Rattus norvegicus: one gene and its partner. The protein of the gene in region 2 purifies or fractionates together with the protein of the main gene of each other region. This does not show direct contact. Links are inferred from orthologs where the notes say so. Each region holds a gene or a part of one and is shown on either strand. Other genes may lie near its edges. The genes, in order: Abcd3 and Ptpn1.

What was found.
Region 1: the proteins of Ptpn1 (region 2) and Abcd3 purify together in Homo sapiens (affinity purification with mass spectrometry; 3 studies listed by BioGRID and IntAct, with this or other methods). This does not show direct contact. The link is inferred for Rattus norvegicus from reciprocal best matches to the Homo sapiens genes PTPN1 and ABCD3.

What each region holds. Positions count from the first base shown.
Region 1 is NC_086020.1:212,548,628-212,552,440, forward strand, and holds part of Abcd3 (ATP-binding cassette sub-family D member 3), read right to left. Parts: intron 3,778-3,813; coding exon 3,680-3,777; intron 3,587-3,679; coding exon 3,495-3,586; intron 2,398-3,494; coding exon 2,306-2,397; intron 2,225-2,305; coding exon 2,152-2,224; intron 827-2,151; coding exon 763-826; intron 1-762. UniProt on the Homo sapiens protein: Broad substrate specificity ATP-dependent transporter of the ATP-binding cassette (ABC) family that catalyzes the transport of long-chain fatty acids (LCFA)-CoA, dicarboxylic acids-CoA, long-branched-chain fatty acids-CoA and bile acids from the cytosol to the peroxisome lumen for beta-oxydation.
Region 2 is NC_086021.1:177,098,984-177,102,796, reverse strand, and holds part of Ptpn1 (tyrosine-protein phosphatase non-receptor type 1), read right to left. Parts: intron 3,779-3,813; coding exon 3,641-3,778; intron 1,853-3,640; coding exon 1,643-1,852; intron 1,208-1,642; coding exon 1,046-1,207; intron 615-1,045; coding exon of another isoform or gene 570-614; exon of another isoform or gene 569-569; coding exon 348-568; intron 1-347. UniProt on the Homo sapiens protein: Tyrosine-protein phosphatase which acts as a regulator of endoplasmic reticulum unfolded protein response. Mediates dephosphorylation of EIF2AK3/PERK; inactivating the protein kinase activity of EIF2AK3/PERK.

The DNA of each region.
Region 1 (3,813 bases), on a different chromosome or scaffold from region 2:
GAGCGTAACAGACAGGCAGGCAGGAAACTTGCTTTCTGATGGCCAAGTCTGTCTTCTGATGACTTTCCAAAAGAAAGAAATCCTGATTTTCAGAAGTGTGCCAGTGGGCACAAATAACCTAACAGTAATCCTCAAAATTCAAGATACAAATCACACGGAACATAGTCAAGGTTGCCTTTTCATGCTCCCATGACCTATCATGTCAGCTGTTAGTTAGGAAAACACACTGTTTATTTGGCTGATATCCTACTTGGGATGGCTACACTAGGTGCAACTGTGCTGTGAATTGTTCAGGGCTAGTGATATGGGTCAGTGGCAGACGCTCCCTGCCAAGCCTGATGACCTGAGTTTAACCCCTGGAGCCACAGTAGAAGAGAACAACTCACTCAATTTGTGTTCTGACTGACACACTCAGTGTGACACGTGCTTCACCCCCAAACAACACACAATACATAAGTAAAATGCAAAGAGAAAGAGGATGAGAGAGAATGGCCAACACGAGGGTGCTAGGAACAAAAGCTGGTTCCTTTGTGACGTCTCCTAGCTCCTGAGCATATCGCCAACAAAATCAACTTGACGTGCTAGTAATCACTGAGATTTGAAGGCCAGTCCATTTTAAGAAAATGAGATTTCTAGATGTCAAAGAGAGTCTCAAATGTGATTATATGGATTTATAGAGATAATTCAAAGTTAATTGAAATATTCAATTTTCAATTCATATTTTGAAGATGATTTAAAGTCATCAACATTTTTAAAACTTACTTCAAAACTAAGGTCTTGGATCAAGATATCTCCATTTGGTGTTGCTAAAGGAACATGATCAAACCTAGAAAGGACATTAATAGAAAAGAGGAAATTAAAACATGTAAGGAACTTAAATAATTAATACACCAAATAGAAATAACCCAACAGAGCAAAAGACCATTCAGGCACTTGCTAAAAGCATACATTCAGGCACAAAATGCAACTGAAAAGGCTCTCCAGATCTCTACCCAGCACAGAAACGCAGATGAAAACTGCAGTGAGCGTCAGTCCTCCCTGGCTTCTAGAGACAAAGGCAAGTGCAGGCGAGTGCAGGCGAGTGCAGGCAGATGCAGAGGCAGGAAGAGGAGCCCTGAACCCTGTCAGCGCGCTGACAGGAAAGCAATGTGGAGGCTCCTCGCTTAGCCTCACTGCCCTAATGCTTCAGACTGCACTCCTAATTGCAGGTGGCTGTCCATAGGAAATAAGCGGGTGCCGCACAGTGGTATCTGCACCCCCACACTCACTGCAGGTTTTATTCAGCAAACCAACTGGGGAAACTCCCTTAATGTCTCTCAACTGATAAAAGAATAAAGAATATATCGTATGTGTAAGCACACGCTCTCACAAGGGAGTATTATTCAGCCTTGAAAACAGAAAAACCTGAATCTGGAGTGCTGAAGAGATGGCTCTGCGGGTAGGAGCCCCTGCTGCTCTTGCAGAGAGCCCAGCAACCATCAGGTTCAGAATCTGTGTAACTCCAGCTGCAGGAGATCCAATGCCCTTTTCTGCCTCCACACACACCTGCACACACATGGTGCACACACATATAAGCAGGAACACACACAAGCACATGAGTAAAAATTTGTTTTAAACTTTTTACACCACAAACATGTTTTTAAAAGAACTGAACTATTTCTCTTTTTGATGACAGAGCACTCTGGTAAGAACTGAGAGAGAGAAGCGTAGTTCATATGTAACTCATATGGAGAAGGAGTTGCTGGGGTGGAGGAACAGGGAAATGAAGGCGGTGCCACTCAGGTTTATGAAGGAGATGAGTGAGTTCGAGGTCTAAGCAGCAGCACAGGAACAATGGTTAAAAATACACTCTACACACAGGAAATCACACACACACACACACACACACACTCAGGTATGGAAATAAAAGACAATAATTAGCTGAAACAGGGACATTATTTTACAATACGTAGGTGATATCAAACATCAAATTATACATACGTAAGTGTGTATAGGTATATACTCAAACCTTTTAAATCAATGACATACCAAGGCTATTTAAAGTTTTTGAAGGACAACTGTAAGTCGCACATGCAACTACAAGCTGCAGAGAAGCTGCCATGAAGCATAATCAATGTGCGGCGCGCAGCAGAGCCTTTGGCTAGTACGTACTTTATAATGTTGTCTGCATTGATGATTTCTCCAGCACCAGGTATCAAGGGACTAGCTTGTGCTCCTTCAATACCTGAACGGAAATAATTATTAAGATATTATACATTAGGACAGACCTAAAATCATGACTGCAAACCATGATTGTCATATTTACCCTTATCCTGTTGTGACACCATTGTACGTTCATATTTGCCATGATTTAAATCCTTTAGTACTTGCATTAATTCCGTAATCCGAGCCGTAAAACTAAAATTTAACAGAAACCATAATCAAAAGTCTAGGCTATTATATCTTGTATATAAACTGAAATGTCTAAAATTGTAGCTTAGCTTAAGAGACCTAACCTAAAGGTCGTCTCCTCAGCATAAAGTATTACTAACACACATCCTACTTTGCTTCAGCAAAAGAGAGGGGACAGGGAAATGAGGAGGGAGTTTCACAGGATCCTCGTCTCAACAGCACCCATCCAGAGGCAAGACACGTATTTCCCTTGGTCACTAGCACGTGTTCTTGTTAGTACACACTGCAGCCACGGAGGGACCTGCAGTCACATATAAGACTGGCCGTTCCCTCAGAGAGAAGTATGCACTGATGCATACTACTTCTCCACAAAGGGGAAACTGAGACCATCTCTGCTCTCACTGGACAACAGAAACCAGACCAGGAACCAGGAGTTGGAGAGTTAAGAAGGACATGAAGGTCAAAGGGAAGGTTTCTCATCAGAGAAGCAAATGGGGGTTAATGTTCGCCAGCTTGGTGTAGGAAGCAGACTGTCCCAGAGGAGACCGTGGGCGGTGCTCGGTGCATGTATACTCCGTGTTGGCAGTTTCACAGACACACACTTGTCCCTTAGTCGTGAATTTTGTACACATCAAGTATGATTTTTTTAATACACCAATCACTCCTTAATAAAATGCTTGGGGGGGGGGGAGTAGGAGAAAAGAGGAAAAAAAGAACCCAATTGCTAGTATAAATGCTTAGGGGGTAAAAGTCTATAGTGGACAGCAAAAATATTCTATGTAAAACTTCTACTCACTAACTAAATTTCTATAAAAGAAGAAGGCTGCCAAGTATCCTCATTCCCCAACTTATCCAGGGCCGGTGTCCGTGAAGGGCGGCAAACGAACAGGGCGCCAATCCAGTTAAGAGTCACACAGCTGCCTCCAGAAAGCAGGGGAAGCTCACTGAGAGAAGTCGTCCCTCATTCTCTATCAAAACCAGCTTCCTAGAGTAGGAGGAGTCAGTACCTCCCACAGTTTTAATGTCAACTGAGTACCAGCAATGTAAGAACAACACACGTTTAAAACCGTTCTATGCAGTTGCATTATTAGTGCATATCTTACCCAGCCAATCTAGTCATTTCACGCCCAGCCAAAACTATCCGCCCCAAAGCTTGAGACATTCTCAAAAGCATTCTTCCACTTTGGTAGTAATCCTTAAAGACAAATGAGTATTAGATTGTGCTTACATTTCTGAATCAGAGCACAGCCTTAACTCTGAGTTGTCTTCATCAGTGTAAGCACCTTACCTCCAGCAGCTCTGAGTGGGTGCTGTGAAGGTGTCGCGGATGCGCCAGGTCTAGGAACGGGCGACTGACAACCAGGTACCCAACTACAGTGGCAATATCTGCAACAGCGGTTAAGATGTTACCCACTGTTATTT
Region 2 (3,813 bases):
ATGGATTCAGGGTCCATTCCGATATTACCCAAGGACGCCTCAGACAGCTTGGGTGCTCAACAATGCTTGCATCGGGGTGAGGCGAGCAAGCTGCAATCCGACCCCGACCTCCTTTGTTCCGACACTGAACAAGTCAGACAAACACCACTAGGAGCACAGGTACCCCATTATAACCTGTCAGTCATTTCACAGGACCCTATTCAGGGGCAATGGGAGCTTGGTTGGACAGAGGCAACACCACTTCTCATGCATGCAGAAGCATCTCTTGTAAAGTTTTCAATGCCTTCATGTGATTCTGGACAAGCTGCTTCCTCTCACCCTGTCCCACAAGCCAGGCCCCCCATTACCTGCTCATGCTGTGCACAGCAATTGAGGGGGCTCTGCTTTCCTCTCTGGCCAGGATGTCCTCATCCTCACAGCTCTCCTCGCTCACCCACTGGTGGTTGGAGAAGAGCTCCTTGCACTTGCCATTGTGAGGCTCCAATGTGCGTTTGGGTGGCCGGGGAGGTGGGGGCACGTGCTCAGGGGGAGGCTCCAGGTCTTCATGGGAAAGCTCCTTCCACTGATCCTTAGAAGGCAGCAGAAGCCCCATTAATGCCAGCCCTGGGTCCGTCCTGGTGAGCAGGCAACAGCTCAGCAGCAGCTCTGGGCTCCTTGGCCCAGGCAAATATTGAGAAGGTAAATGTGCTCTTTTTGGGCTAGGGTCTCGGGTAGCCAGGCAGGCCCAGGACTGGTGGTGCCTCCACCTCTGAAGACCCACAGACTGCACAAGGCATGGTCTTTAGAAGGTCAAGCCCACTCTTCCTCTCAGGGCTCTGCAGAGCATGAATAAGGCAGGCAGAAGGGAGCAGTTGTTTAATGACTCGAGCAATGGCAGACATTAAGGAAGGGGAGCCATTTCTTATGACCTCGACAGCATGGGACCTTTTAAACTGGAGTTTCTTTCCCAGAGTAGTCCTGGTGAGCACGCACAGGCTCTGTGGTCTATCCCCAGCTAGGAACCAGGCCCAAAACCAACCAACTCTTGAAGCAGAGTTGCACTGACCTGCACTGACGAGTCGCCCATGATGAACTTTGCACCCTCGATCACAGCCAGGTAGGAGAAGCGCAGTTGGTCGGCCGTCTGGATGAGCCCCATGCGGAACCTGCGCATCTCCAACAGCACTTTCTTGATGTCCACAGAGGACGGGTCTTTCCTCTTGTCCATCTGCAAGCCAGGGACACTGGGTCAGCCAGAAGAAAGCCACAGAGGGGTGGGTGGTGGAGGGTCTCAGGGAAATGGGAGAGAAACATAGCAGACTTGGGACCGTTTGGGCCTGAGCTGGACGAGTTTAGAGAAGAATCATGGGGGTTCTAGGGCACCCGGCTCCTGTGTCAACTGGGGTACCTGGCTTCTCTGACAACCAGGGTGCTCAGCTCCTGCATGGGGGTTCTAGGGTACCTGGCTCCTGTAACAACTGGGAGAACCCCATGGACAAAGCTAGAAGGGGCTCAACCACCATCAATGGAAACTGCTGGCATCAAAGACCACAGCAGGGTGCCCTCCAAGGAAGGGGGTCTGTGGACAGCAACAGGAACTCTAGCTAAAAGGGTGGGTTCAAGCACGTTTCCTCTCTTCCTAGGCTTGCAAATCCCTCCTTACCAGTAAGAGGCAGGTGTCAGCCAGGCAGAAGGTCCCTGACCTGCCAATGCCAGCACTGCAGTGGACCACAATGGGGCCGTGCTCTGGGCTGAGTGAGCCTGACTCTCGGACTTTGAATAGGAAATTGAGGAAAGAGGCAGGTGACTCAGGGACTCCAAAGTCAGGCCAGGTGGTGTAGTGGAAATGCAGGATCTCTCGAGCCTCCTGGGTCTGAAAGAGAGAGACACATGCTGTTAGACTGAGTGCATTATCTACACAGACCCCATGTTTGCACCAAGTCGCTTCCTGCCCAGCCTTCCTCAGTGGGTATGGCTGGATCTGTCCACAGCCTTAAGCAGTGGACAATCCTCTTACCCTACTGTTCCTTCTACATTCACACATGTGGCCACAATAGTTTCAGCTGGAAAGTCGCCATGATGCCACTGGCATCTTAAATCTCAGAGAGCCTTCCTGTGTTTATGTGCGTGTGTGGGAAGAGGTACAGCAGGGTGGGGTGGGGCGGGGATTGGGATGTGCACCAGGTCTGGCTGGCCCAGGGAGAACACTGGGATGGGTCAGACAAGTGTTACTTTTCAAGAAAAGTCTCCAAAGACAGGTTTGCCAGTAAGGTGGCTGTCATACAGGTGAAGCATCAGCTGTGACTCCAGAGGCCAGACTGCTGGTGAGTTCTCCACACCATCATTCACCTCAAGGACCATACCCATTCCCATAGCTGTCCCACAGCGCCCCTGGAGCTGAACAAAAAGAATGGCCTCTGGGGGGTTGGGGATTTAGCTCAGTGGTAGAGCATTTGCCTAGCAAGCGCAAGGCCCTGGATTCGGTCCACAGCTCTGGAAAAAAAAAAAAAAAAAAAAGAATGGCCTCTGGTGCTCTGTTCTTTCCTAGATGGTCTGATATTTTAAAAACTATTTGCTGGGGGTCAGGGGTACCGCATGTTGAATGATCAGATGGTAACTTGCAGGGTTACTGGCAAGCACCTTTATATATGAGCTATCCCACCACCTCCATGGTCAGGATTATTAAAGGAGGCCAACTGCAGACCTCAGAGGGCAGGGTCCCAGGGCTGCAGAGAGGGCCAGCAGGTTGTGCCAGACAAAGAGTGGGATACAGACACTGAAGGCTTGACTTGCTGATACCAAGTTGCTATCTTTCTGCAAAGTACAGAAGGTCCCTGCTGTGGGACAAACACACATCAAAGACATGGCCACCCTTTCAGTGTGGCTTAGATCCAGGATGTTGTACGCAGCTGAAGGACCATCCATCTGGAGACCCTGAAGCAGCTCTGCCCACCTCCCTGCAAAACCAAACACTACCTGTATTGGGTGCAAGGCGGGAGGTGCCTCACATATACTTTAAAAACCGGCTTAGAAGAAAGCATGCAAGAACAGTCGTATTTACCTAAAGAGTGTGGGCTCTCCTACCACGTCCCCCCTGCTTCCCTTCCCTCTACAAGGACTCAGTTCTAGGGCCCAGAAAGGGGCTCAAGTGGAAACCTTGAGTAGGCCTCCTGTCTATAACCCCAGCACTGCAGAGGCAGAGGCTGACGGACTGGAAATGTGAGGCCAGCTTGGGCTACTATTGAGACCTTATCTTAATACAATCAACCACCCTCTAAAAGTTCCAACCCCAAACAAAGCCTAGGCTCTCCTGCCCTCACTGCCATGAAACAGACAAGCCTTTGGTGCTGCTCTGAAATGTCTCCCTCAATAAGCAGATGTCCCCAAATCCCACAGGCAGAGCAAACCACTCTCAGGCAAGAAACTGACTTTTCCCTTGGAACTGTGTTAAGTGGTGTCAAGGTGAGATTGCCGTGGGAGGTGGCTTGTACCCTGGTGCCTGGGCACTGGCGCCTACAACAGCAAGTTCTGCTCACCACAGGATGAAGCCATACTGTGCACAGGGCTCAGAATTCCTGAGAACGCCACAGTTGAAGTTAGCACCAAGGCCTAAGATCAGCAGAAACGAGTCACCGTCTCCGGAGGACTCGTCAATACTTACAGCCAGGTTCTCCAACTCCAACTGCCGTACTGTGTAATATGACTTGACATCTTCAGAGATCAGTGTCAGCTTCAAATTGGTGTCATCGAAGACCATCTCTTTTTCTTCTTTCTGTGGCCAATACTGGGCACATTTTAACTGGGGAAGAACAGCACTGGATTACTCCGAGCACC